Saccharomyces cerevisiae S288C: one gene and its partner. The protein of the gene in region 1 binds, or shares a complex with, the protein of each later gene. Each region holds a gene or a part of one and is shown on either strand. Other genes may lie near its edges. A codon is read from its position in the direction of its gene.

Region 1 (9,891 bases):
GGCACTGCTGGGGAACGTGAGAATGAGAATGAAAGCAACGTTAAGCCTGAAAACCAATTTAAGGAAGACGAGGTTGATATGTCAGATTCGGATATAAATGGGTCTAATTCACCAAGTTTCTGCCTCTTGGATATTCAAGGCAATACCTGCACGTTATACATTTATTTATACGTTAATGGAGAAGTGAAGGTCGATAAAGTGGTTTATGAAAAGGAATAGGGTAGCCATTTTCATTTTTATGCATTTCTATGATGTCTAAACATTAGATGCATTCGTGAACTTTTTCTTGCAGACGAGATAGATGTAATTAAGATATCCTATCTGCCGGATATTACATATATAAAAAAAGAAAGCTTGCATGCACAGTTTCCTTACTATTCATGCTCACACAATTCTACCGAATTAGCACTGCAGTGTTTAGAACCGTGCTCAAAAAGAGCTAACAGAGCTTGTGAAGAAGCCTGGATGAAAATATACTACGTTTATATAGGTTGATTTAATTATACAATGATATCATTTACGCCTTGCTTAATGATATCCTCTAGTAGATCGCTTTCTAGATCGTCTTCTAGTTTTTCCTCATTCTCTTTCAAACGGCGATGGGTGAAGTTGCTTATCTGCAACTCCTCTAATTTTAAAACCTTCTTCATGGCGTATGCATCTTCACCATCCTGATAGTAGCTTTTCTCGATACTCAACACCTCAAACGCCAATGTGTCCCTGTACAAGTGTAAAGCTGCTCTATTAGATTGTCTCACATGCAAGGAAACATATTCCGCTTGATGAACTTCTCTCAACGCAAATAAAGCTTGTCTCATTAAGTTTTCGGCAATCCCCATCCTTCTATAGGTTCTCATGACACTTAAGGAAGTAATATGACCATTTGGTGGCTCGTTTTGCTGGTCGGGGTCGTCGTTCATCTTCACGAGAACGTATCCAACTAATTTTTCGCCCGGAGCCAAGTATGTTGGATCCAACTTGATTGTCCTGCCGTCATTGGTCCCATCTAAGGTCAATTCCAATTTGTCGTTCTCATCTTGTTCATCACTATCTTCACAGTCCAAAGTGGTGGTAGTAGCAACAAACGAAGCCTCTGGCCACGAGAGAATATGATACATATAATATTTCATCATATAATTTTCGGGTAGGTTATGAAGGTTGGCATTTTGCATACATATAATGTCATTGATTGTCGCTCTGCGAATATTAATAGGCATGGTTGACGAAGTTTTATTTTGGAGCTTGATCGTATGTATTTAGGTTTCCCTTTTCACTTGGCAATTACTCGTTGCTGACAAAAGGTTTCAAACTTTTCAGACGGTGCTTTTTTTTTCTGTTCAAAAAACCAATTGACGCGAGAAAGTGAGGATTGAGCCTAGAGATCAATAAAGACAAATTAGCATTGGATGCAATACTACTAAAGCAAGCGCTTTAAGAGAAAATATTTGTCCTGGAAGTCTCATGGAGATTATACTTTATGAATTCTTTATCTCCGGGCAGAAGGCACTTCAGCGTATCATTTGTTCCATGATATTTTCTGAATAAACTTCAGAATTATAATACACAGTATTTACACATCTAATTTTTGACTACAGTATAATATTCAAGCTTCTTGATTTACCTGCAGTTATGCTTAAATTCACATTTGAATTCTTTAGTATCCGTTTAGCTAGTTAGTACCTTTGCACGGAAATGTATTAATTAGGAGTATATTGAGAAATAGCCGCCGACAAAAAGGAAGTCTCATAAAAGTGTCTAACAGACAATTAGCGCAATAAGAAGAAAGAAAACGGATTGAAGTTGAGTCGAGAATAATTATGGCACCCAGAAAACGCTTTAGGCTACTCGAATTAGGGTCACCAACACATTCTAAAAGGAAAGTTCAAAAACCTCTTCAAGAGAAGACCCCAAACTTGCGAGTTTCTCCACTTGCTTTTAAAATTGGTAAAGAAATCAAGAATAAGGAAATCAGAAAAACAAAAAAAACAGAATCAGAAAATATATTCAATTCGAAACATGTCGATTTAAGACTAGAAAGCCCACATCCAGGATTAAATTTTGTAAGTGATGCTCAACAGTACTCAAAGGCTGGAGATGTTCGATATTTGAAAAATAAATCAAGCAATACCTTGAAAAACGAAAGACAAACAATAGAGCGCCCCTCATTTGATAATTCCTTAAGGTTCGAGGACATTGAGCAGCCTCCAAAATCTACTTCAACGCCGGTTCTTTCTCAATCTTCTCAAATAAATGTAGAAAGAGAAGCACCCATGTTTCCAGTTCCTTACTATATTGCTCCTTCTCCTATGTATAATTTTAGCCCGTATCAAAATTTCGTTGGAAACCCAACGTTCCTGACGCCAAGTCATAACCCAAACCTAAACTATGCCATTCCCATCCAACGGCCGGAGTTGCTTTATCCGAATGTTAACGTATACGATTCGCCATTGTTTAAGAAAACAAGACTGCCCCATCAGACCAAAAGTCTAGATAAAGAAAAAAATTACCAATATCTTCCAATATATCCGGTCTCGATTTCTAATAACGGAGATTTTGTTGGCCAAGAGACACCAAGGGCAGCACCAAAGTTAAGTAAAAAGAGACTTTCAAATACATTGGATGTTAATTGTTCCGATTATGAGTCTAGTGGACAAAATGCAACTTATAATGATAGTGAGTCTTCCCTTAATTAAAAAGATTAGTTTACTTTTTCTGTAGAATGTTAATTAGTTTATTGCATAGAAAATCTTTAATACTGAATGACAAAATTTCCACAATTTTTTTTAAAAAAATTATCGACAACTGCAGGACTCGAACCTGCGCGGGCAAAGCCCAAAAGATTTCTAATCTTTCGCCTTAACCACTCGGCCAAGTTGCCACTTATTATATAAGTCGTAAGCATAATATCAGGATCTTATGCCTTAGTATAAGTCAATTGAAATTGCAATCCTTGTATGTTTTATATTAAATTTTGGGTGAATAATTGGATAATTGTTTGAAATCCATTGTTGAAGAAAGGCTATAATATTCGTACACAGAGTATACTAGAAGTTCTTCTCGAGGGTCTTGGAATCCACAAAAAGGCGTCGATAAATCTCCATAACTATATTACTTTATCCTATTACATTATCAATTCTTGCTTTTAGCTTCTATTGTATTTGATAAAATATTTCGGCTTCTTTTATGTGTATGCGATTGCGTATTACTAAATATAAATTTATATTTCCTGCGACCATTTGTCCGTCAGAAAAGGCTCTCAAAAAAACAACACTACCCTTTTACCGGAAATCACAAACTAAATGTTAAAATAAGAATTTAACATCATCCATTGATTATGAATATTGAGTGAATGATTTAATGATTGTTGCGATTTCCTTGTTGGTGAAGGCTATGATATCAGCTATGCAGAATATACTAGTAGTTATCCACCAGAACATAAGAATCCTCAAAATGTAATTAAAAATCCACTATCGTCTATCAACCAATAATTATACTATCAATATATTATCATATACGGTGTTAGATGATGAAATAAGTTATGAGAAGCTGTCATCGAAGTTAGAGGAAGCTGAAGTGCAAGGATTGATAATGTAATAAGATAATGAAACATATAAAACGGAATGAGGAATAATCGTAATATTAGGTTGTAGAAATATAGATTCCATTTTGAGGATTCCTAAATCCTCGAGGAGAACTTCTAGTATATTGTGTATACCTAATATAATAGCCTTTATCAAAAATGGAATCCCAACAATTATCTCAAAATTCACCTAATTCTCAGAATCTGTATTTCGACATAAGGTTATTATGATTATTTCTCCTTCCGTTCTATATTTTTCATTACCCTATTACATTGTCAATCCTTGCATTTCTGCTTTCATTAGAATTGATGACTGTTTCTCAATGTTTATGCCATCTTCTTACAACTTATTTGACAATAAACTAGTAGCGTGAGTACTAATAAACGGATGATATTTTGAAGTTTCATAACAACAATCAAAATTTGATGTATTTCATTAAAAATTGATTGATTTTGGGTAATGCAAGGATGACGTATTCGATCATGATTTTCAGATCGACCAGTAAGTTCCGGTCCTATAGTGTAGTGGTTATCACTTTCGGTTTTGATCCGGACAACCCCGGTTCGAATCCGGGTAGGACCTTTTTTTGCTAAAATGAACTTGTGTCACAAATTCCGTTCGAAATGGCGGTCCTTTTCCAATAAGTTTTCTTTTTATGGCATTTTTAGCAATTAGAGCTTACTTAACATAATGAATTATCCAAGTCAATAAAAGCAGAAATACGAAAAATTCCCTAAAAAAAGATGCCAAACTCTCATGGTAATGTATTGAATAATATCTCTTTAAATAGCAAGCAAAATCCCAGATCGATTTCTAAAAGTTGCCCAAATGATAAAGATGCAAGGCAGAAAAGCTTCAAAACGATATCAGCCCAAGCACTAGTACGCGTGCAAGGAGCTGGATATAAGCTCGGTGATGTGAAATTAAAGGATGCTGAAGTCAAAGAAAAGAATAGCCTCAAAAAATACGATTGTAAAAATGCAACTCAAGAAAAGAAAGAACAAGAGCAAGTATTTGAAAAAACTGTTGCAAAGGGAAGCGTGCAAAAATATATCACGAAAACTTCAAAGACAAATAGTTTGTTTATAGGAAATCTGAAATCAACTGTCACTGAAGAAATGCTAAGGAAGATATTCAAAAGGTATCAATCTTTTGAATCTGCTAAAGTGTGTCGTGATTTTCTCACCAAAAAATCATTGGGTTATGGCTATTTGAATTTCAAGGATAAAAACGATGCAGAATCTGCAAGGAAAGAATTTAATTATACGGTTTTTTTTGGTCAAGAAGTTAAAATAATGCCATCTATGAAAAATACATTATTTAGAAAAAACATCGGAACAAATGTTTTTTTCTCTAACTTACCACTGGAAAATCCCCAACTGACCACAAGATCATTTTATCTAATAATGATCGAGTACGGAAATGTACTGTCATGTCTTCTAGAAAGAAGAAAAAACATTGGGTTCGTTTATTTCGATAACGATATTTCTGCTAGAAATGTAATCAAAAAATACAATAACCAAGAATTTTTTGGAAATAAAATTATATGTGGATTGCATTTTGACAAAGAAGTAAGAACTAGACCTGAATTTACAAAAAGAAAAAAAATGATTGGCTCCGACATAGTTATCGAAGACGAACTATTGGCTAGCAATAATTTATCAGATAATGCTCGTTCGAAAACAATATTAGTCAAAAATTTACCATCTGACACAACACAAGAAGAGGTCTTGGATTACTTCAGCACTATTGGCCCCATAAAATCTGTATTCATCTCTGAAAAGCAGGCGAACACACCACATAAAGCGTTCGTCACATATAAAAATGAAGAAGAATCTAAAAAGGCACAGAAATGTTTGAATAAAACAATTTTTAAAAACCATACCATTTGGGTTGGTCCTGGTAAAGATAAGCCTGTTCATAATCAAATTGGAACGAACAAGAAAACAAAGGTTTATCTAAAAAATTTAAGCTTCAATTGCAATAAGGAGTTTATTTCTCAACTATGTTTACAAGAAAAAATAAGATTCAGTGAAATTAAGATCACAAACTATAACTCATTAAATTGGACATTTTGTGGACATGTTGAGTGTTTTTCTCGTAGTGATGCTGAGAGATTATTTAATATTTTGGATAGGAGACTAATTGGAAGTAGTTTGGTTGAGGCATCATGGTCAAAGAATAATGATAATATACTAAATGAGATAGACTATGACGATGGTAACAACAATGAAAATTATAAGAAATTAATCAACATTAGTTCCATGATGCGTTTCCGCACACAAGAGTTATCAGCTCATCAAAAGGGATTAACGTCACAGTTTCAACAAGTAGTTTCCCCATTCTCATCATATTCAAATTCCTACACAAACATGAACTCTCTCGTAGCTACGCCGATGAAACCTCATCCAGCATTTAATTTAATTACAAATACTGTTGACGAAAAACTGCATCAGCCTAAGAGAACTAAACAGGAGAATGCAGAAATACTTGAGTCCTTAAAAAAAATTATAAACAGAAATTTACAACGTATAAGTATTTCTGGTTTAAATAAAGAAGAAAATCTGCGCAGCATTTCCGAGTTTATTTTTGACGTATTTTGGGAGCATGACTCAGAAAGGCTATCGCACTTTTTATTAATGACAAATACTTCATTAGAATCACAGAAAATTCTACAAAAACAAGTCACTAGAGCTGCTGAAAGCCTCGGATTTACAGTTTGATTCCTTTTAAAGGAAGAAGGCAGGTTCATCAATATGCAATTTTCGGTACAAAAGTACGTATGTCTATAAAAATAGAGTATTGTTTTCTTTGCTATCTTAATCTACCCAGAATTATTCCAAGGAGTTTCAGCCTCGATTTTTTTTTAGTTTAATGGCGTATAGTCCAGTTTCAAGAAATACTCCACCTACTAAGTGAGTACTTAAGAAGTGGTTCCTCGAAGCTTTCCATTGTGATTATATAACTACAAACATTTCGTAAACATAGCTGAATAAGGAACCCATCCTCAACTTCATAACTCTAAAAAAAAATTCTATATATAGGAACGAGACATATGGAGGACGATAATTTAAGAAACTCTAACGTAGTTTGCAGGGAATATTCCTTCTTTTCCGTTAGTCCTGCCTGTCCACCAATCATTTTGAGAATCTGATTTTTTTAAGATAGTAATAACATCACCTTTTTTGAAAGCCAAGTCGCCTGGTTGTTCTCCAGCAAAATTGTAGAGAGCAACAGCCGTTGGTGTCGCCGAATTTGTAGCAGTGGATTCATTACCTAACCCTGTCTTCGACATTTTATGTGATAAATCATCGACATTGCTCATATTGCTGGGGTGAGTTGGGCCATGACCAAGGCTATAACCCCTTTCTCTACCATAACCACGCCTATTTCCTCGGGTATTATCATAATCCCTACCGGAATGGTTGGGACGGGAGTATTCAGTATCTCTATCATACAAATCATCTTCCCATCGGGTATTCGCACGCGGCTTAGTACCCCTATCTATCTGTGGGCCTCTATTGCGGCTGCTGTTTCTATTTGGAGATCTTCCGTAATCATAATCTTCATCTTCGCTATCAAAATCTCCATACCCGCGACCACGTCCGTAACCATCATCATCATAATCATCATCATAACGACTGCGTGACCCCAGCGACATTCCTCTTCTTCTTGATGATCTTGTGTTTGGACGTGTTGAGGATTCATCAGTAGAATCAAAGGAATCTGGAATATCGTCGTAATAATGGCTTGTGTTGTCGCTGTATTGACCGTCATCATAAAAATCATCACCGCTAGCGTTGTCATCATGGTCGTGGCGTGTAAAGTTGAACGCTCTTGATTCCAAGATACGGAGTAGGGGGTCTGCTGCTGGTGGAACTTTTACTCTACCTGACAAAATCATCTTTGATGTACAGTTATCGCCGTAAAACTTTCGATTAGCTTCCCTTCTCTCCAAGATGGCTGAACCTTCCACAGACACACCGGCAAATAAACCTTTGCTTTTGGAATAGGCAAAAACTGCCGAGACACCACCTGTGGATGCAGAAGCTGCAGCTTCTGCACTTCTTCCAAGAGGACCTGCGGAAACTGACACATTACCACCTAAAGTAATTGTACCAAATTCAGAAAAGGACCTCACTGCCTCTTCCGAATTTAAAATAAAAACAAAATCTGTCAATTCAACGCCGACCATACCACCTGCACCAGCACCTGCCATAGCGATAGCAGAGGGAGCCGACCATGTACCGTCTTTTAACCTGGCCACAATCACCCCAGAACCTGCTCTCCCTGAAAACAAGAAGCCAGCCTTTAAAACCGTGATAATTGCTAGACCTTTAGCTCTTTTTAGCACATATGGTGGAATAACTTGGTCTGCTCCAAATACTTGATTTGGTTTAACAAAACTCCTTAGAACTTTCGCGGCCTTCCTGTAGTTAAAACATTCGAAATAAATCAATCATAAAGTTGTTAGTACATTACTTTTGAAAACTCATGCCCCATAAGCAATGGACACAGACTAGAGAGCTATCTTGAACATTTTAGCTGCATCCATAAGTTTAGAGGAGGGGCAGCAGGAAGCATATATATGAACATACTTGGTCTCGCTTTTCAAGCTTCGAGGAATTGGATTATTGATACCCATTTTTGGATTTTGGATTTGATATTACCACTACTCTTGAAAATTTTACTGTGAAGTGTAAGATAGTTTCATGTTATAGATAATGTTAAGAACAGGGTCTAGTTAGGGGGTAGTCAACTTTAATTCCCTTCAGGTCGTTTTCGGTCAGCGTCGGAACATGTAAAAATGTTGTAGGTGGCATACAAACAGGAAATATAAAACAGACAACAGAAGATATTTGCTCTCAAAAAAACAAATAAAAATGGCTTGGTCTGGTGGTAAGGATATAGTGGATCAGATATTTGATGCTGGGTATTGGCTCGTCTCGAAAAGCGCTGTCTTGAGCGATGAGATCAAGAACCACGTCGAAAAATCAATTGAATCCATATCTGGAAAGATATCCAACAAGGAGACTCCTCGACTACAGGAAAACGACAGTAACAGATCTAAAGTATATAAAACTTTGAGGATCGGGCTCCAGGATCATTGGAAGCTAGGCTTGGGAATTTCTGCCACCTCCCTGTGCTTATACCTTGGGTATAGGACCTTTTTTAAACTGCCACCTAATTTACCTGAAGCAGAATCTCAAGTGGTATTAATACTGGGCGATATGAATGATCCTATCATAAGGAATCAAGTGATGGATTTATATCGCAGACGGTTTACAGTATATATTTGTACTGAAAATGCAGACGTCTATAAGAAGCACGAAGAAGATCAGGATTTCATATATTACATTGATCCCACCTGCGAAAAAGACTTCGAGGGTTTTTTTGTTGATGTACCAAGGCTAGCATCCATATTGTTTATGCCAAGGTTATCATATCATCCATCCGGAGTAATTTCATGTGACTCATTGGAATCTGAAATTCATTCAAGTATATTTGTGTATTATCAAGCATTATTAAGCATTATACCCCATTTGAAGAGAAAAACCCAACTAATTATGTTCAATCCATCTTTGACTGCGGACCTGAACTTAGTCCATCATAGTACAGAAATTATAACGTCTGGAATAATCGACTCACTATTTAAAATTTTCAAGGAATATCAAAGGTTAAATGTTTCCACAATCAAGCTTGGAATCCTGCAGATTGGGTCACAACCATCGAACTATAAATTTTTGAGAATGGCCGGTTCAGACATTCACGAGGCCCTACATTATCCAGTTTACAAAATGATAATGAGTGCGAATGGGTATAAACTAAGACAACTGCTAAGTTGGTTAACGACTTTGGGAGGTTACAATAGTGTGTATTATTGCGGCCGTTTTAGTTATTTAGTCTCATGGCCATTTGCTTCACTTATATTCAACCATCACACACGTCTTTCCCTGAAACGCTTGAGAGGAAGATTAGCCAAGGTATATAGCAGCATTATTTCGTTTTTTTGCCGGTCATCTTCTAAATCATCCAAATAATATCCTTGATTAGATAACAATTGCTTATCTACGTATATATATACATAGCACAATCTCGAAAATATAATACTAATAACAAAATAAGTATTTAAAGAAGGGTTGATGAAGTCCTAGAAGTACCAGACCTGATGAAATTCTTGCGCATAACGTCGCCATCTGCTAATTTAATTGGGATTTCAAATTATCCAATTGCTTCAATACAGCAGATTTAGCGGTTCCACCAGTAGCATCTCGTCTTTCAACGCTTTGTTCAAAGTTAAAAGTTTCAA
Region 2 (17,973 bases), on another chromosome or scaffold:
ATACATTTTGCTATTTTGATCTTCAAGCCTAATTGGAAATGGCGAAATAAAAGATCGGGAAATATGGAGGGTGGCTTGTACAAAAAAAGGTCATATATCTGGCCAATTACTGCATTAGTACCTGCCATTTTAGCAAGCTTAGCCTTCATTAATTATAATAAACTCAATGACGATTCTGACACCACTATTATACTGGATAATAATAACTACAACTTTCCCGATTCTCCCAGGCAAGGTGGCTACAAACCTTGGAGTGCATGGTGCTATTTACCACCCAAGCCGTACTGGTATAAAATTGTTTTAAGCTGGGGTCCCAGATATTTCATTATTATTTTCATATTTGCAGTCTACCTCAGTATTTATATTTTCATTACCAGTGAAAGTAAAAGAATTAAAGCGCAAATTGGAGACTTTAACCATAACGTACTAGAGGAAGAGAAAGAAAAGAAAAAATTATTTGGGCTCGGTCACTGGGGAAAAGCCAAATGGTATTTCAGATCCTATTTTAAATTGCCATTGCTACATCTTTTGAGAAATTTAAAGAATTTTTTCACCATTTCGTTCATAGATCCGAATGAGGAAACAGACGATTCAGGTAGTAGTAATGGAACTTTCAATTTTGGTGAGAGTTCGAATGAGATACCTACACTATTCAGAAAAACAAATACAGGTAGTGATGAGAATGTCTCGGCAAGTGGTGGAGTTCGCTTACTTGACTATAACAGTGCTAAACCACTCGATATGTCCAAATATGCAATGTCTGAACAGCCAGATTTGGAAAGAAATAATCCTTTTGATTGTGAAAATGACATCACACTCAATCCTTCGGAACTAGTATCCAAGCAAAAGGAGCATAAAGTTACTTTTAGTGTTGAAAATGAAGGACTGGATACAAGAAAAAGTTCAATGCTGGGACATCAGACTTTCTCTTGCCAAAATTCTCTAGAATCTCCTTTAGCAATGTATGATAATAAGAACGATAACAGCGACATAACTAGTAACATTAAGGAAAAAGGAGGCATCATCAACAACAACAGTAACAACGACGACGACGACAACAACAACAATAACGATAACGATAACGATAACAATAATAGCAATAATAATAATAACAATAATAATAATAACAATAATAATAATAACAATAATAATAACAATAACAACAACAACAACAATAATAATAATAATAGTAATAATATTAAAAATAACGTTGATAACAATAATACTAATCCAGCCGATAATATTCCTACACTTTCTAATGAAGCATTTACTCCGTCTCAACAATTTTCACAGGAGAGAGTGAATAATAATGCAGACAGATGCGAAAATTCAAGTTTCACCAACGTACAACAGCATTTCCAAGCCCAAACCTACAAACAAATGAAAAAACGTAGGGCACAAATTCAAAAGAATCTAAGGGCAATATTCATTTATCCACTGTCGTATATTGGGATATGGCTTTTCCCCATCATTGCAGATGCGTTGCAATACAATCATGAAATAAAGCATGGGCCTACCATGTGGGTGACATACATTGACACTTGCGTTCGACCATTAAGTTGTCTCGTCGACGTCATTGTTTACCTGTTCAAGGAAAAACCTTGGAACTATTCATGGGCAAAAACAGAATCAAAATATCTCATTGAAAAATATATTCTGAAAGGAGAGCTTGGTGAAAAGGAAATTCTGAAGTTTTGTCACAGCAATTGGGGGAAAAGAGGTTGGTATTATCGTGGTAAGTGGAAGAAAAGAAAATGCTGGAAATATTCTACAAACCCTCTGAAGCGTATACTGTGGTTTGTTGAACGCTTCTTTAAACAATTGTTTGAACTAAAACTACACTTTAGTTTTTATGACAATTGTGACGATTTTGAATACTGGGAAAACTACTATTCAGCCAAAGATTCAAACGATAATAAACGCACAGAATCTGATGAGACTAAAACGAATAGTAGCGATCGCTCCCTTCCATCAAATTCACTTGAACTACAGGCAATGCTTAATAACATCACGGCCGAAGAGGTTGAAGTGCCCTTGTTTTGGAGGATCATTCATCATATTCCAATGCTTGGCGGAATAGATCTTGATGAGTTAAACAGATTGTTGAAAATACGGTACAATAACGACCATTTTTCTCTACCCGGGTTGAAATTTGCATTAAACCAAAATAAAAGTCACGATAAACATCAGGACGTCTCAACTAACAGTATGGTCAAATCCAGCTTCTTTTCAAGCAATATTGTCACAAACGATGATGAGAATAGCATTGAAGAGGATAAGAATTTACGCTATTCAGATGCTAGTGCATCTGAAAATTATCTGGTCAAGCCCACAATACCAGGTACGACTCCTGATCCAATAATTGAGGCGCAGAACGATAATGATAGTAGTGATAGTAGCGGCATAGATTTGATAGCCTTCTTAAGAAATGGACCATTATAAAGTTTTTGTATCGCGATGTTTGAAAATGGAAAGTAAGGAACGTAATACAAATTGACAAGTAGCCGACATGAATGACGCTCACTTCTCTTATATATGTTAGGTAGTATATGCATTATAGAATTTATTCATTGAAGCAATGTGATTCCTCGATAAGTAAGCTTTTTTTCTGTCTGGCGGCGAACCATTAGAGAACAAAAGACCGAGTTAAGAAAAAGTTCATAAAAAACTTTTGAAAATGGATGAGTGCTCGTATAATGGAATAGGAAACTTATGCAAAGAAATAATAGGTTAAGAAATTTGTTTACAGTGCCAGTAATAATGGCTCGACAACTCAAAAGGAATGCATTATCTGCAGGTCTTGCTTTTGCAGGTAATGCAACCTCAAATGAGTTTGATGAACATTTGCAAAATGAGGTTGAAAGAGAGAGGGAAATTCAAAAGAAAAAAAAAATAAAGCGAACTCAATCAAAAAAATCGCCAGATTTGATTAATAAATCTACTTTTCAATCACGAACGATAGGCAGCAAAAAAGAGAAACATAGACAACTAGATCCAGAGTATGAAATTGTCATCGATGGCCCTCTAAGGAAAATCAAGCCCTACCATTTTACGTACAGGACCTTTTGCAAAGAGCGTTGGAGAGATAAAAAATTGGTTGATGTCTTTATATCTGAATTTCGAGATCGTGAATCTGAATATTATAAAAGAACAATCGAAAACGGGGACGTTCATATAAACGATGAAACTGCGGACTTATCTACTGTAATTCGCAATGGTGACCTGATTACGCATCAGGTACATAGACATGAACCTCCAGTCACTTCCAGGCCTATCAAAGTTATTTTTGAAGATGATAACATAATGGTTATTGATAAACCGAGCGGTATACCTGTTCACCCAACTGGCCGATATCGGTTCAATACAATTACGAAAATGCTTCAAAATAATCTCGGATTTGTTGTGAACCCATGTAATAGGTTAGATAGGCTTACAAGTGGATTAATGTTTTTGGCAAAAACTCCGAAGGGAGCCGATAATATCGGCGATCAACTAAAAGCTCGAGAAGTCACTAAGGAATACGTGGCCAAGGTAGTTGGAGAATTTCCAGAAACGGAAGTAATTGTTGAAAAACCTCTAAAACTGATCGAGCCAAGGCTTGCTCTTAATGCAGTTTGTCAAATGGACGAGAAAGGAGCCAAACATGCAAAAACTGTTTTTAACAGAATCAGCTACGACGGTAAAACGAGTATTGTAAAGTGCAAACCGCTTACCGGGCGATCACATCAAATTAGAGTACATTTACAGTACTTAGGCCACCCAATTGCTAACGATCCTATTTATTCCAATGATGAAGTATGGGGTAACAATCTCGGAAAAGGCGGCCAGGCTGACTTCGATATAGTTATTACTAAGCTAGACGAAATAGGGAAAAGAAAACCTGCTAAAAGTTGGTTCCATAGTAATGGCGGGTACGGTGAGGTATTAAGGCAAGAAAAATGTTCTATTTGTGAATCTGATTTGTATACTGATCCTGGCCCCAATGATCTTGATCTGTGGTTACATGCCTATCTATACGAATCAACTGAGACTGAAGAAGGAACCGAAAAGAAAAAGTGGTGCTACAAAACAGAGTATCCAGAATGGGCTCTGAGAAGATAGAGGTTCCTGACTTGTCGGACAATAATACATAGAAAACTGGTCTTCTGTTATAATCAGTCATTGGCCAATCAAAAATGACAGTAACAGAACATCACGCTACAATCTTAATCTTAATTTATAAAAAAGCTAAAATCTTTACAGGAGGAAGACAATGAGATGTGAAGAATGACCACTTCTCCTTTTCTTTTCCATTTCTTTTCTTCCACACTCCTAGTATTCCCGGTAGTATTCTTTTCGCAACCTAAAATTTCACGTAGCAGAGAAAATCGGAGTCTTGAAAGTGTTAACCATAAAATTTCATTGATAAAATGATCTTCGAGGCTTTCTGCTATCCAAATCCACGTTTCTTTTTATTTATTTATTAAAAACCATAAAGTAAAAACTTTGTTAAGGCTTGGAAGCGACCGAGCGCAGACCGCTTGTGTCATCGATTACTCAGATAGGAAATCTTTTATTTATCACCCGCTGAAGCACGCAGCAACAACCGGTTGACCGACGCAATTCTTTGTTTACTTTTCCTTCTACTCATGATCTTCTGTTCCATTTGCCACCCGATCGAAGAAAAAATTTTACGGCCAGTTGCTTCTTGGGCGTAAGGCTCCGATCTTTACGAAGAAATCTTAATTTTTGCCTGAAAGCATGGCTTAAAAGCCGAAAAAGCAAAACTTAATGATTGACAGATCTTTTTTAGGAAATTTTTTGACGGTGAAAAACCCGGCTTCTAGAAAAAAAAACGATGGGAAAAAAGAACTGGAAAAAAAAAACTTTAAACTTTGCTTATGTCAAATTTAAATTTCAATTCGGAATTAACACCTGCCGCCCCCGTTTATTGTCCAGCGGGGAGTCTTTGTCGTACTTTCTTCTTTTCTTCTTCTTTCTTAATGAAGCACCTAGTTTAAGGATAAAAAAGATTATATCGCTTGTCTATGGCTTACGTAAACATTATTTCTTTGATATACTATTCCGTTAGAATGGAAGGGGGCCATATGATTCTGATTTTCTTGGCCTGGGGGGATGGAAATTTTCCTTTTAGAGCTGCCTGTACAAGACCGAGTGTTCGTTCCTCCTTTAGCATAGAAAATACGGTTATTAGATTATTGGGGCATTTGGCCTGCTTCCATCTTAACGCGAACAAATACTATTCAAGAACTTGTGCTACCTCTTGAAACCAAATGTTAAACTGTTCTGCCATATTTGAAAATAATTTCAAAGTTGTGGGAAAAATATTTTGCCATCATACGACAAACGTTTCTCTGGCTGTGACTGATAGTCGTGTAGGTCCTGTATTATCTTGCTGACAAACATCTTAAAAAGTCTTTTGGAAAAAGAAAAAAATAAACTTTCCTTCTTTTTTTTTTGGTTCCTGCGGCTCTTTCAAGGGGCTGCCAAACCTTATATTCTCCTCCTGTCATTTTAGAAGGAGAGGTAGCGGTCTTTTCTTTTTTTTCGTGCCTACACGCGCACATGACGATAAAACTGGCCCAGGCGAGATCAGATCAGCATTTGCACGTTGCATTTTACTTGTTTTCTTATTGGCAAAGAAAAAAAGCTCGGAACAAGCCACTAATACCCGATTCTATGCTTACAGAATAACCGATACTACTGGAAAGAAAAATTTTTCACATTAGTTCGCTGCATCTCCATGATCGTTTAATTATTTTATATTTAAGAGAAGCAAATCACTTCCTCCAATGTCATGATGGTCTTGGCAATTTTCCTCCCCTTGTTGCAAAAGTGTAAAATAGGTATCCACATCATTCATAAGAAAACTACTAATATCATTTTGCCTCCTATTTGCGGCCTTGCTCACAAATTCAGCGACTGCTGATAGAATTGATGACAAGGTGAGCCCTTCATTTGATCTAAGCAAAAGAGACGAAAGCGTTGCTATCAATGGTTGTCCAAATTTGGATTTCAACTGGCACATGAGCCAACAGAATATACTACATTATGATATGGATGTTACTTCCGTATCATGGGTCAAGGATAACACATACCAGATTACTATTCATGTCAAAGCCGTAAAAGATATCCCTTTGAAATATTTATGGTCTTTAAAGATTATTGGTGTCAACGGTCCCTCAAGCACCGTACAACTTTACGGCAAAAATGAGAAGACATACCTAATCAGTGATCCAACAGATTTTACATCCACTTTTCAGGTTTATGCTTACCCTTCTTCTGACGGTTGCACAGTTTGGATGCCAAATTTCCAAATCCAGTTCGAATATCTACAAGGTGATGCTGCTCAGTACTGGCAAACTTGGCAATGGGGGACAACCACCTTCGATTTATCGACAGGTTGTAACAATTATGACAATCAAGGCCACTCACAAACGGATTTCCCTGGATTTTATTGGACCTACCAGTGCAAGGGAAACAATGATGGCACTTGTACAAAAGCCTCGTCTTCATCCATTACTACTTCATCCATTACTACTTCATCCACTACTACTTCATCCACTACTACTTCATCCACTACTACTTCATCCTCTACTACTTCATCCTCTACTACTTCATCCTCTACTACTTCATCCTCTACTACTTCATCCTCTACTACTTCATCCTCTACTACTTCATCCTCTACTACTTCATCCTCTACTACTTCATCCTCTACTACTTCATCCTCTACTACTTCATCCTCTACTACTTCATCCTCTACGAAAACTTCCACTACTACGTCATCTACTGTGAAAAGCTCTTCCACTACATCCATTGATTTTACTACTTCCGTTGACTCACATACTTCATCAAGCGTAGCCGATATTTATCGTTCAAGAACATCTACTGATGTCACCACATTAGCAGCTTCAACTAGTCCTTTCAGCAGTTTCACTTCAAGTGACTCTAGTAGTTCAAGCGATGTAACCAGTTCAACCATTCAAACTACTTCTGTTGATCCAACCACTTAAGTAGTAAGTTCAAGTTCAGAAGACCCAACTAGTTCAAGCGCTGTGACTACTTCAGTTGACCCAACTACTTCAGTTGACCCAAATACTTCAGCTGATCCAACTACCTCGACCGTTCAAACTACTTCTGTTGATCCAACTACTTCAGTTGACCCAACTAGTTCTATAGTCAGTTCTACTTCAGTTGATCCAACTACTTCAGTTGACCCAACTACTTCAGCTGACCCAACTACCTCGACCGTTCAAACTACTTCAGCTGATCCAACTACTTCCGTAGTCAGTTCAAGTTCAGCTGATCTAAGTAGCTCTGTTATCAGTTCAAGTTCAGCAGACCCAACTAGTTCAAATGCTGTGACTACTTCAATTAACCCAACTACTCCAGCTGATTCAACTACTTCGGCCGTTCAAACTAGCCCAGCTGATCCAAGTAGCTCTGTTACCATTTCTACTTCCACAGACTCTACATCTTCAATTGAGTATACTACATCGGATGATCCACACGCCTCATCAAGTTTAGCGGCTATGTATCGTACAAGAAGCTCTGACGAGGTAACCACATCAACAGATCTAACTAGCTCAAGTGACGTTGCTACTTCAGTTGACCCAACTACTTCTGTTATCAGTTCAACTTCAGCAGACCCAACTACTTCAGCTGACTCAACTACCTCGACCGTTCAAACCACTTCAGCTGGTCCAAGTAACAACATCGGCAATTCCACTTTGGCCAATTCCACTACTTTTGCAGTTAGTTCCACTTCAATTGACCCAACTAGCTCGAGCGATGTGATTACTTCAACCGTTCAAACCACTTCAATTGAACCAACTACTTCTCTCGTCAGTTCAAACGATATTACTACTTCAACAAGTCTAAATATCTCTGTCGTGATTTCCACTTCCACGGACTCTACATCTTTAATTGAGTCTACTACAACAGTTGGTCCACATGCCTCATCAAGTGTTGCTGGTATGTATCGTACAAGAAGCTCTGACGAGGTAACCACATCAACAGATCCAACTAGCTCAAGTGACGTGGCTACTTCAGCAGATCCAACTAGTTCAAGCGCTGTGACTACTTTAGTTGACCCAACTACTTCTGTAGTCATTTCAACCTCAGTTGATCAAACTAGCTCAAGTGACGTTGCTACTTCAGTTGACCCAACCACTTCTGTTATCAGTTCAACTTCAGCAGACCCAACTACTTCAGCTGACTCAACTACCTCGACCGTTCAAACTACTTCAGTTGATCCAACTAGTTCTGTAGTCAGTTCCGCTCCAGTTGATCCGGCTAGTTCTGTTGTCAGTTTAACTTCATCTTACCCAACTAGCTCAAGCACTGTGACTATTTCTGCTAATTCAAACGGTTCAGCTACTTTAGCGGCTCAAACTACTTCAATTGATCCAGTTAGCTCCATCGTTAGTTCAAGCGGTGCAACTACTATCATCAGTAGCGCCTCAATTGATCCAGCTAGTTCTGTAGTTAGTTCAACTTCATCTGAACCAACCAGTTTTATTGTCAGTTCAACCTCAGTTTATTCAACCAGACCAAGTGGTCCAACTACTTCAACAGATCTAGCTACTTTCTCTGACACAATCATTCTAAGGGTTTCAACCACTTCAACCAGCCAAGATACCCAAACAGTATCATCTAGTCTAACTGATATGGTTTCCTCAACTGGTTCAGCTGATTTGAGCGTCTCATCCATTCAAAGATCTCAAGTAGACCCAAGCACTTTCGCTGTCTCGAATAGCCCAGTATATCCAACAGCTTCGACCGGATCAACTTCCACGGGCATTCCAATTGCGTCGGAAAGTCTAAGCCTTTCTAGACAGCAAGGAATTTCGGCCACTTCAAGTTCTTCGATTGTAACTTTAACCCCAGTTGATTCGGCTTCCTCGAGTAGGTCAAGCGCAACAAGTATAATCAAGCCTAATATGCCAGTTAGCAGCAATGATTCGAAGACCCAAAGTTCTGTTTCTGTAGTTGACGCATTCCAATCAACTAAATCTTCATATCCTAGCATAACTTCAGCAGACCCAACGACTCTAGCCAGTGAAAATGGTTTAGTCGGCTCATCTTCCTCAGCTCATCCAATCACATTAGATAGAACTTATGCATCAGCTCACGCAAGCGTCACCGATATTGTCAGTAGAGTTACTGACTCGACTCGCCATACAACACTAGTAACTTCAAACATTAACATTCAGTCTGAGGTTGGGAACCCAAATTACTCGGGTCCCAAAGACACTACCATCACCAAACAATCTGCATTTATGACTTCTCCTGCATCAACGTCTACTATAAGTAACGTTCAATCAACTGCTTCCGTAATGAATCACAGTATTGAGGACAATATTTCTGCAGCTGCCTCTCTAGAAAGTGTTTCTGGTACCTCAACTAAAGATTATTCTAGTCAATCCAGTGCCATTCATTATACAAATTCCTTCACGACCACCACTACTAACGCATTTATCACATCAAAGCATTCCATTGCTGCTGTATCAACAGGAGCCATTACATCATCTGCCAGCATTTCATTAATCATGGAAGGCAGCGCAAACATTGAAGCAGTAGGAAAATTGGTGTGGCTCGCTGCCGCTCTTCCTCTAGCTTTCATTTAGTCATTCTACCATCTTTCATGTCCCTACGCCATTCTCGTTCGTATACCATATAAACCAATTATAGATTTTACATAGAATAATAGTTAAATTTGATTATAGAATATCTTCGGATTCAATAAAAAATTATTATTATCAGACTCTTTCTGTCCACTCCTTGAAGTATGCAAAGTGCTTCGAGAACGCCATGACATTCGACAATTCAAAATTGAGAGAGGACTGCTAAGGAAACTCTTTGAGTTGATTATATAATCGCTATTTAATCTTTTAAAGGGGGAATACTGCTAAATTTTCATTATTGTACAACTGGAGACATGATAGGCCTGAAATGTGCCACCAAATTGCATGACCTTGCTAATGAGGTCGCTGGGTTGCGTATGCACTTTTTACCCTGCTCCGCGTCGAAACAGAACATAATACAGAGTAAAGAGGAAAGAGCGAAAATGAAAAAGTTTCTACACTCAAAAGTCAAACCTTTTTAAAAAGTGATGTTCAGATTCCTTGTTTAAGACAAATACCATTGAGGAAGGCGATTGACCCTAACGAAGTATGTCTAGGAAAAGAAGTACTAAGCCCAAGCCAGCAGCTAAAATAGCTTTGAAAAAAGAAAATGACCAGTTCCTCGAGGCATTGAAACTATACGAAGGGAAGCAATACAAAAAATCTCTCAAGCTGCTAGACGCAATTTTGAAAAAAGACGGTAGTCACGTTGATTCCTTGGCTTTAAAGGGTCTTGATTTATATTCTGTAGGTGAGAAAGATGACGCTGCTTCCTACGTGGCTAATGCCATCAGAAAAATTGAAGGCGCTTCAGCATCACCAATCTGCTGTCATGTATTAGGTATCTACATGAGAAACACCAAAGAGTACAAAGAATCTATTAAATGGTTCACGGCAGCTTTGAACAATGGGTCCACTAACAAGCAAATATATAGAGACTTAGCAACTTTGCAATCACAAATTGGCGATTTCAAAAATGCTTTAGTGTCCAGGAAAAAATATTGGGAAGCATTCCTTGGTTACCGTGCCAACTGGACATCATTGGCTGTGGCACAAGATGTGAACGGTGAGAGGCAACAAGCTATTAACACTTTATCTCAGTTTGAAAAACTCGCTGAGGGAAAAATATCTGATTCCGAGAAATATGAACACAGCGAGTGTTTAATGTACAAAAACGACATTATGTATAAAGCTGCCAGTGATAACCAAGACAAGTTACAAAATGTATTGAAACATTTGAATGATATCGAGCCATGCGTCTTTGATAAATTTGGTTTATTAGAGAGAAAAGCAACTATTTACATGAAATTGGGTCAATTGAAAGACGCGTCCATTGTTTATAGAACTCTGATCAAGAGAAATCCAGATAATTTTAAGTACTACAAATTACTGGAAGTATCCTTGGGAATCCAAGGTGACAATAAATTGAAGAAGGCTTTGTATGGAAAACTTGAACAATTTTATCCAAGATGCGAACCACCCAAATTTATTCCATTAACTTTCCTTCAAGACAAAGAAGAGCTCAGCAAAAAATTGAGAGAATATGTTTTGCCTCAATTGGAGCGCGGTGTTCCAGCAACTTTTTCCAACGTGAAACCCCTTTACCAAAGAAGGAAGTCCAAGGTTTCACCACTATTGGAGAAAATTGTCCTTGATTATTTGTCCGGATTAGATCCTACGCAGGATCCAATTCCTTTTATTTGGACCAATTATTACTTGTCTCAACATTTCCTTTTCCTTAAGGATTTTCCGAAAGCCCAAGAATATATTGATGCTGCCCTTGACCACACCCCAACTTTAGTTGAGTTTTACATCCTCAAGGCACGTATCCTGAAGCACTTAGGCCTAATGGACACAGCGGCTGGAATTTTGGAGGAAGGTAGGCAACTTGATTTGCAGGATAGATTTATCAACTGTAAAACGGTTAAGTACTTTTTAAGGGCTAACAATATCGACAAGGCGGTGGAAGTCGCGTCCCTTTTCACCAAAAACGATGATTCTGTTAATGGTATTAAGGACTTACACCTTGTGGAAGCTTCTTGGTTCATCGTAGAACAGGCAGAAGCCTATTATAGACTATACCTGGATAGAAAAAAGAAATTAGACGATTTAGCATCGCTAAAAAAAGAGGTTGAAAGTGATAAAAGCGAACAAATTGCGAATGATATCAAAGAAAACCAATGGCTTGTTCGCAAATATAAAGGTTTGGCGCTGAAAAGATTCAACGCTATTCCAAAGTTTTATAAACAATTCGAAGATGACCAGTTGGATTTCCATTCATACTGTATGAGAAAAGGTACGCCAAGAGCCTATCTGGAGATGTTAGAATGGGGAAAGGCACTTTATACCAAACCCATGTATGTTCGCGCAATGAAGGAAGCATCAAAGCTTTACTTTCAAATGCATGATGATCGCTTAAAAAGAAAGTCCGATTCTTTAGATGAAAATTCAGATGAAATCCAAAATAATGGCCAAAATAGTAGCAGCCAAAAGAAAAAAGCTAAGAAGGAAGCAGCCGCTATGAACAAACGGAAAGAAACTGAAGCCAAGAGTGTTGCTGCTTATCCGAGTGATCAAGATAACGATGTATTCGGCGAAAAGTTGATTGAAACCTCCACTCCAATGGAGGACTTCGCTACCGAATTTTATAATAACTACTCCATGCAAGTCAGAGAAGACGAAAGGGATTATATTTTGGACTTTGAATTTAACTACAGAATTGGAAAGTTAGCTTTGTGCTTTGCTTCTCTAAACAAATTCGCTAAGAGATTTGGCACCACGAGCGGTTTATTTGGTAGTATGGCCATTGTTTTGTTACATGCCACAAGAAACGACACCCCCTTTGATCCAATTTTGAAGAAAGTAGTCACGAAGAGCCTTGAAAAAGAGTATTCTGAAAATTTCCCATTAAACGAAATATCTAACAATAGCTTCGATTGGCTGAATTTCTACCAAGAAAAATTCGGTAAGAATGATATAAATGGCCTGCTATTTCTGTATCGCTATCGCGATGATGTTCCGATCGGAAGCTCTAATTTGAAAGAAATGATTATTAGCAGTCTTTCTCCCTTGGAGCCTCACTCCCAGAACGAAATTCTACAGTATTACTTGTAGCCTGCAACTCCTCAATGTGTCAATTAACTCTTACTTAATTTATGTATATATTTTTTATGTATATGCTTATATGCATGCGCATATGCTCATAAAAGATACATTGTTATAGGTCATTTCTTTTCCAAGCTACATCTAGCACTCCTTCCAACCATGGTCCAGGACAGCCAGGACCTTTTCTTGCCAAAATTCTTGCTTTCCCATCTCAGAGAAAAAACGAGGAATTTTTCTTTGTCCTCTTTGGCCGCCAGTTGCGGTAAAATATTTTTTTTCTAGGTCGCATAGTTTGAAAGACTTGTCTTTTTCACCACCCAAGAAAAATATATTTAGTGAAGAGATGTAAAGCCCATTCTCACGTATTTCAAGAAATTAGGCATCGCTTCGGTAGACACATTCAAACCATTTTTCCCTCATCGGCACATTAAAGCTGGATGACCATCCCACATATGAAATACGCCGTATCAAAGACTAGCGAAAATAAGGTTTCAAATACAGTAAGCCCCACACAAGATAAAGACGCGATCAGAAAACAACCCGATGACATTATAAATAATGATGAACCTTCACATAAGAAGATAAAAGTAGCACAGCCGGATTCCTTGAGGGAAACCAACACAACAGATCCACTTGGGCACACTAAAGCTGCGCTCGGAGAAGTGGCATCGATGGAGCTCAAACCAACTAATGACATGGATCCCTTGGCAGTGTCAGCAGCTTCAGTAGTGTCAATGTCCAATGACGTTTTGAAACCAGAGACGCCCAAGGGGCCAATCATAATCAGTAAAAACCCATCAAATGGTATTTTCTATGGTCCCTCCTTCACTAAACGAGAGTCTCTCAATGCTCGAATGTTTCTGAAATACTATGGTGCACACAAATTTTTAGACACTTACCTCCCCGAGGATTTGAACTCGTTATACATTTACTATCTTATCAAGTTGCTAGGCTTTGAAGTTAAAGATCAAGCGCTTATCGGCACCATCAACAGTATTGTCCATATCAACTCGCAAGAGCGTGTTCAAGATTTGGGAAGTGCAATATCTGTCACAAATGTTGAAGACCCATTGGCAAAAAAGCAAACAGTTCGTCTAATCAAAGATTTGCAAAGAGCAATTAACAAAGTTCTATGTACAAGATTAAGATTATCCAATTTTTTCACTATTGATCATTTTATTCAAAAATTACATACCGCTAGAAAAATTTTGGTCCTGACTGGTGCAGGTGTTTCAACTTCATTAGGGATCCCGGACTTCAGATCTTCTGAGGGGTTCTATTCAAAGATCAAACATTTGGGGCTCGATGATCCCCAAGACGTTTTCAATTACAATATATTTATGCACGACCCCTCTGTTTTCTATAATATTGCCAATATGGTTTTACCTCCAGAAAAAATTTATTCTCCATTGCATAGTTTCATTAAGATGCTACAAATGAAAGGGAAATTATTGAGAAATTATACTCAAAACATTGATAATTTGGAATCTTATGCGGGAATAAGCACAGATAAACTGGTGCAGTGCCATGGCTCTTTTGCTACTGCCACCTGCGTTACCTGCCATTGGAACCTACCCGGTGAGAGGATATTTAATAAAATTAGAAACCTCGAACTTCCACTATGCCCGTACTGTTACAAAAAAAGAAGAGAATATTTCCCAGAGGGATATAATAATAAAGTAGGTGTTGCTGCATCACAGGGTTCAATGTCGGAAAGGCCTCCATATATCCTTAACTCATATGGCGTTCTCAAACCAGATATCACATTCTTTGGCGAAGCACTGCCAAATAAATTTCATAAGAGCATTCGCGAAGATATCTTAGAATGTGATTTGTTGATTTGCATTGGGACAAGTTTAAAAGTAGCGCCAGTGTCTGAAATCGTAAACATGGTTCCTTCCCACGTTCCCCAAGTCCTGATTAATCGTGATCCCGTCAAGCACGCAGAATTTGATTTATCTCTTTTGGGGTACTGTGATGACATTGCAGCTATGGTAGCCCAAAAATGTGGCTGGACGATTCCGCATAAGAAATGGAACGATTTGAAGAACAAGAACTTTAAATGCCAAGAGAAGGATAAGGGCGTGTATGTCGTTACATCAGATGAACATCCCAAAACCCTCTAAGTAGAAGGCAATTTAATAATTTAAAAGTGCCAAATTAATATCAATTTACATAGTATGGCAAACAATTTTGTTTTCCTTTCAATTATTGTAGTCAAATATTATTTACATTCTGCTATTTTCATTGTACCGGGTGAAATATTACATGTACCGCCCATCTCACTAAAAAAATGAAAAAAAAAAATCTGCTAAAGACGCAAGGCTCTCACAAATAGCTTAATGTAAGAAGGGCAGGTGGAACAGCAAATTCAAATCATTTAACGCATCCATACATTCAAAATGAACTATTTAGAAGGCGTTGGGTCAAAGAAAGGAGGTGGTGGTATAGCCTCAGAATCTCAGTTTAACTTACAACGAAGGAAAGAAGTCGAATCATTACTTAGTAAAGGCGAAAATGTCCCGTACACTTTCCAAGATGAAAAGGACGATCAAGTAAGGTCCAATCCGTACATTTACAAGAATCATTCCGGTAAACTGGTTTGTAAACTATGTAATACAATGCACATGTCGTGGTCCAGCGTTGAAAGGCATTTGGGTGGTAAAAAACATGGTTTAAATGTGTTAAGGCGTGGTATCAGTATAGAGAAAAGTTCTCTAGGGAGAGAAGGCCAAACAACTCATGATTTCCGACAACAACAAAAGATAATTGAAGCTAAGCAATCTTTAAAGAATAACGGTACGATCCCTGTTTGTAAAATAGCTACCGTGAAAAACCCGAAGAACGGTTCAGTAGGTTTGGCTATCCAGGTAAATTATAGCAGTGAAGTCAAAGAAAATAGTGTCGATAGCGATGATAAGGCTAAAGTCCCTCCTCTCATTAGGATTGTATCTGGTTTAGAGCTATCAGATACCAAACAGAAGGGAAAAAAATTTCTCGTTATTGCGTATGAACCCTTTGAAAATATTGCTATTGAGCTACCTCCAAACGAAATATTATTCAGCGAAAACAATGACATGGACAATAATAACGATGGAGTAGATGAATTAAATAAAAAGTGTACATTTTGGGATGCTATATCAAAACTTTATTACGTTCAATTTTTCTTTAAACAAGCCGAACAAGAACAAGCCGATGTATGACAGTATTATTTTTGGGTAACGTTAATAATCGGCATACAAAACTCTAACCAAATTGGATTATATAATAGCTATTAAGGAAACAATTGTCTTTACAAGAGTTTTTTTTACGAAATTTTCCCATCCAATGTGCACTTATTCTCAGGGAGTATAATAACCATATTCCTCTAAAATTATATTACTGCTCAACTTCCATGCGCTTTTGCGATCTAGAGTATTTATGTTACCATTTATCAACAGTATCTAGTACTCGCAGCATACATACGTATTTATTCAGAAAAATGTAATTAGGCGAACAAGGCCGAAAACTGTGATGTGACAACGCTTGCTATACTTGAGAGATAATTGTAAAGGAAGAAGAGGGAACTAAGGAAGAGTACAACACGCCATACAATGATCAGAACATCATCTATATTAAAAAACTGTAACTATAGATACATACATTGCATCCATAGATGCTTGCTGAATGAAGCCAATTTGAAAGATAGAAAAACTCACAACGTAGAAAGAGTTTCAAATGAAAAGACATTTGAACAAGCTCTCGAAGAGGAACGTAAGGTATTTGGAGAACTATTCGAAGCTGGAGCAAGGGTTGAAAACATGAGGCACACTAATGCTAGCAAAATAATTGACAAGTATTACAATGGGCTACAGGACAACTCCGAGGGAACTAGTGTAAAAAAAGAAAAAATTGTTTTTAACCACAGTCAAAGAGCTCAAAGGAAGCTTCCAAATAAGGACCATGAATTCCTGAAGGAAACAGCAGGCAATGACTATGTCTACGAACGGGCAGAACCTTCTGCTATTAGCACTAAAACGATAAGTGAGCAGACAAGAACTTTGCTGGAAAAGATATTTGACGAAGATAATAGCATTAATAAAAGCAACAGAGAATTGCTGAATCTTAATCTGCGCAAGGGCTCGGGAATGGAAGCTTTGAGGCAGCCAGTTGCACATTCCAACGTCAAATTTAGCGAGGAAGTGATGCAAGAAATTGGTAATAAGATTCGGTACCAAACCACACTGGATCAGGTTTTAGAACCTCACATTGACTACTTGAGGGAAGCTGTTAAAAGTGATTACGATCTTTTAAGATACCTAAAGCAATCACTAGACATTTACAAGAAAAGGAACAAAGACCTAGAGTTAAAGATGAATGCAGAATCTTCAAACATTTTCGAAGACATTAGAAGTGCGTGTATAAATAAACCGGCAGAACTACCGAAACCGCTTGCAATGACTTTACCATATATTATAGTCAAATCGCTTAGATTAGGTGACTTTGATTTCCCGGCAGACAGAAAGTACACATTGATCTCCTATGTTTATAATGAATGTAAAAACAACATGGACGCTTCACTGTACCTAACAATTTGTAATGTTGATTTCTACAATTTGCTGGTTCAGCTATTGTGGGAAAACTTCCAGGAGATTCGCTACTTGAGACGTGTGGTTACCGAGATGAGCGTTAATGGTGTCATCGGAAATATTGAAACCGTGGATATATTGGATAAGATTGTCAAAGAAATGAGAAGTTTAAATGAGGATGTCTTTCTTGAAGCAGGAGAACAGCTCAGTGCAGATGAGGAAGTTTCGTCCAGCGCAAATAAAATAGTGAATGTAGGTGTTTTATGGAATAAAGACACGAATAATGACTTACTAATTGTTGAAAATTATCTCAAAAGCCTCAAAAAAAATTTAACTAGAGACAGGTAGAAAATTATTCAAACCTTGTAAATAGTGTTATATATATGTGTTAGACTTAAAAGCGCTAATAAACGTTCCTGCTCGCATTTAACTTCTGTTCCAATTTTCCTATTTTTTAGTTAGCTTGTTCGGCAGATTTCAAATTCATTGAGTCCGAGGAAACAAAAGGATGGGAAGAGCTCAAAATTTGGAGATGGGTTTCATATACAACACGTTGGTTAGCAAGAACCTAAGGATCCGTCTATAGAAAGAACCTCGAAAAATCTTCGAAAGATTTTGTTGACTGAGAGTGGAAAAAACTGATATTACTTTCTCGGTATAGAGGGCAACATTTG

What was found.
Region 2: the proteins of ARD1 (region 1) and NAT1 are in contact, whole or in part, in a crystal structure (PDB 4HNY), measured with the Saccharomyces cerevisiae proteins. Residues at the interface, in NP_011877.1 of Saccharomyces cerevisiae: Pro2 (codon at 1,214), Ile3 (codon at 1,211), Asn4 (codon at 1,208), Ile5 (codon at 1,205), Arg6 (codon at 1,202), Arg7 (codon at 1,199), Ile10 (codon at 1,190), Asn11 (codon at 1,187), Ile13 (codon at 1,181), Ile14 (codon at 1,178), Gln17 (codon at 1,169), Ala19 (codon at 1,163), Asn20 (codon at 1,160), Pro25 (codon at 1,145), Asn27 (codon at 1,139), Tyr28 (codon at 1,136), Met30 (codon at 1,130), Lys31 (codon at 1,127), Met34 (codon at 1,118), Tyr35 (codon at 1,115), Ile37 (codon at 1,109), Leu38 (codon at 1,106), Ser39 (codon at 1,103), Trp40 (codon at 1,100), Pro41 (codon at 1,097), Glu42 (codon at 1,094), Phe45 (codon at 1,085), Leu52 (codon at 1,064), Asp53 (codon at 1,061), Glu55 (codon at 1,055); in NP_010244.1 of Saccharomyces cerevisiae: Tyr199 (codon at 10,770), Glu203 (codon at 10,782), Phe238 (codon at 10,887), Asp239 (codon at 10,890), Lys240 (codon at 10,893), Phe241 (codon at 10,896), Gly242 (codon at 10,899), Glu245 (codon at 10,908), Ile262 (codon at 10,959), Arg265 (codon at 10,968), Thr266 (codon at 10,971), Lys269 (codon at 10,980), Arg270 (codon at 10,983), Asn271 (codon at 10,986), Pro272 (codon at 10,989), Asp273 (codon at 10,992), Asn274 (codon at 10,995), Phe275 (codon at 10,998), Lys276 (codon at 11,001), Leu285 (codon at 11,028), Ile287 (codon at 11,034), Leu293 (codon at 11,052), Ala296 (codon at 11,061), Leu297 (codon at 11,064), Lys300 (codon at 11,073), Leu301 (codon at 11,076), Gln303 (codon at 11,082), Phe304 (codon at 11,085), Tyr305 (codon at 11,088), Pro306 (codon at 11,091).

What each region holds. Positions count from the first base shown.
Region 1 is NC_001140.6:130,230-140,120, forward strand, and holds ARD1 (peptide alpha-N-acetyltransferase complex A subunit ARD1), read right to left. Parts: upstream 1,218-9,891; coding exon 501-1,217; downstream 1-500. Other genes in the region: retromer subunit VPS29, read left to right, coding at 1-219; SPO13 (Spo13p), read left to right, coding at 1,818-2,693; MIP6 (Mip6p), read left to right, coding at 4,325-6,304; YSC84 (Ysc84p), read right to left, coding at 6,652-8,011, 8,180-8,226; YSC83 (Ysc83p), read left to right, coding at 8,465-9,622; argininosuccinate lyase ARG4, read right to left, coding at 9,782-9,891. UniProt on the Saccharomyces cerevisiae protein: Catalytic component of the NatA N-terminal acetyltransferase, which catalyzes acetylation of proteins beginning with Met-Ser, Met-Gly and Met-Ala.
Region 2 is NC_001136.10:373,641-391,613, reverse strand, and holds NAT1 (peptide alpha-N-acetyltransferase complex A subunit NAT1), read left to right. Parts: upstream 1-10,175; coding exon 10,176-12,740; downstream 12,741-17,973. Other genes in the region: GPR1 (Gpr1p), read left to right, coding at 1-2,442; pseudouridine synthase PUS9, read left to right, coding at 2,713-4,101; BSC1 (Bsc1p), read left to right, coding at 6,027-7,013; pheromone-regulated protein PRM7, read left to right, coding at 7,533-9,629; NAD-dependent histone deacetylase SIR2, read left to right, coding at 13,169-14,857; spliceosome assembly protein PRP11, read left to right, coding at 15,134-15,934; MTF2 (Mtf2p), read left to right, coding at 16,325-17,647. UniProt on the Saccharomyces cerevisiae protein: Non-catalytic component of the NatA N-terminal acetyltransferase, which catalyzes acetylation of proteins beginning with Met-Ser, Met-Gly and Met-Ala.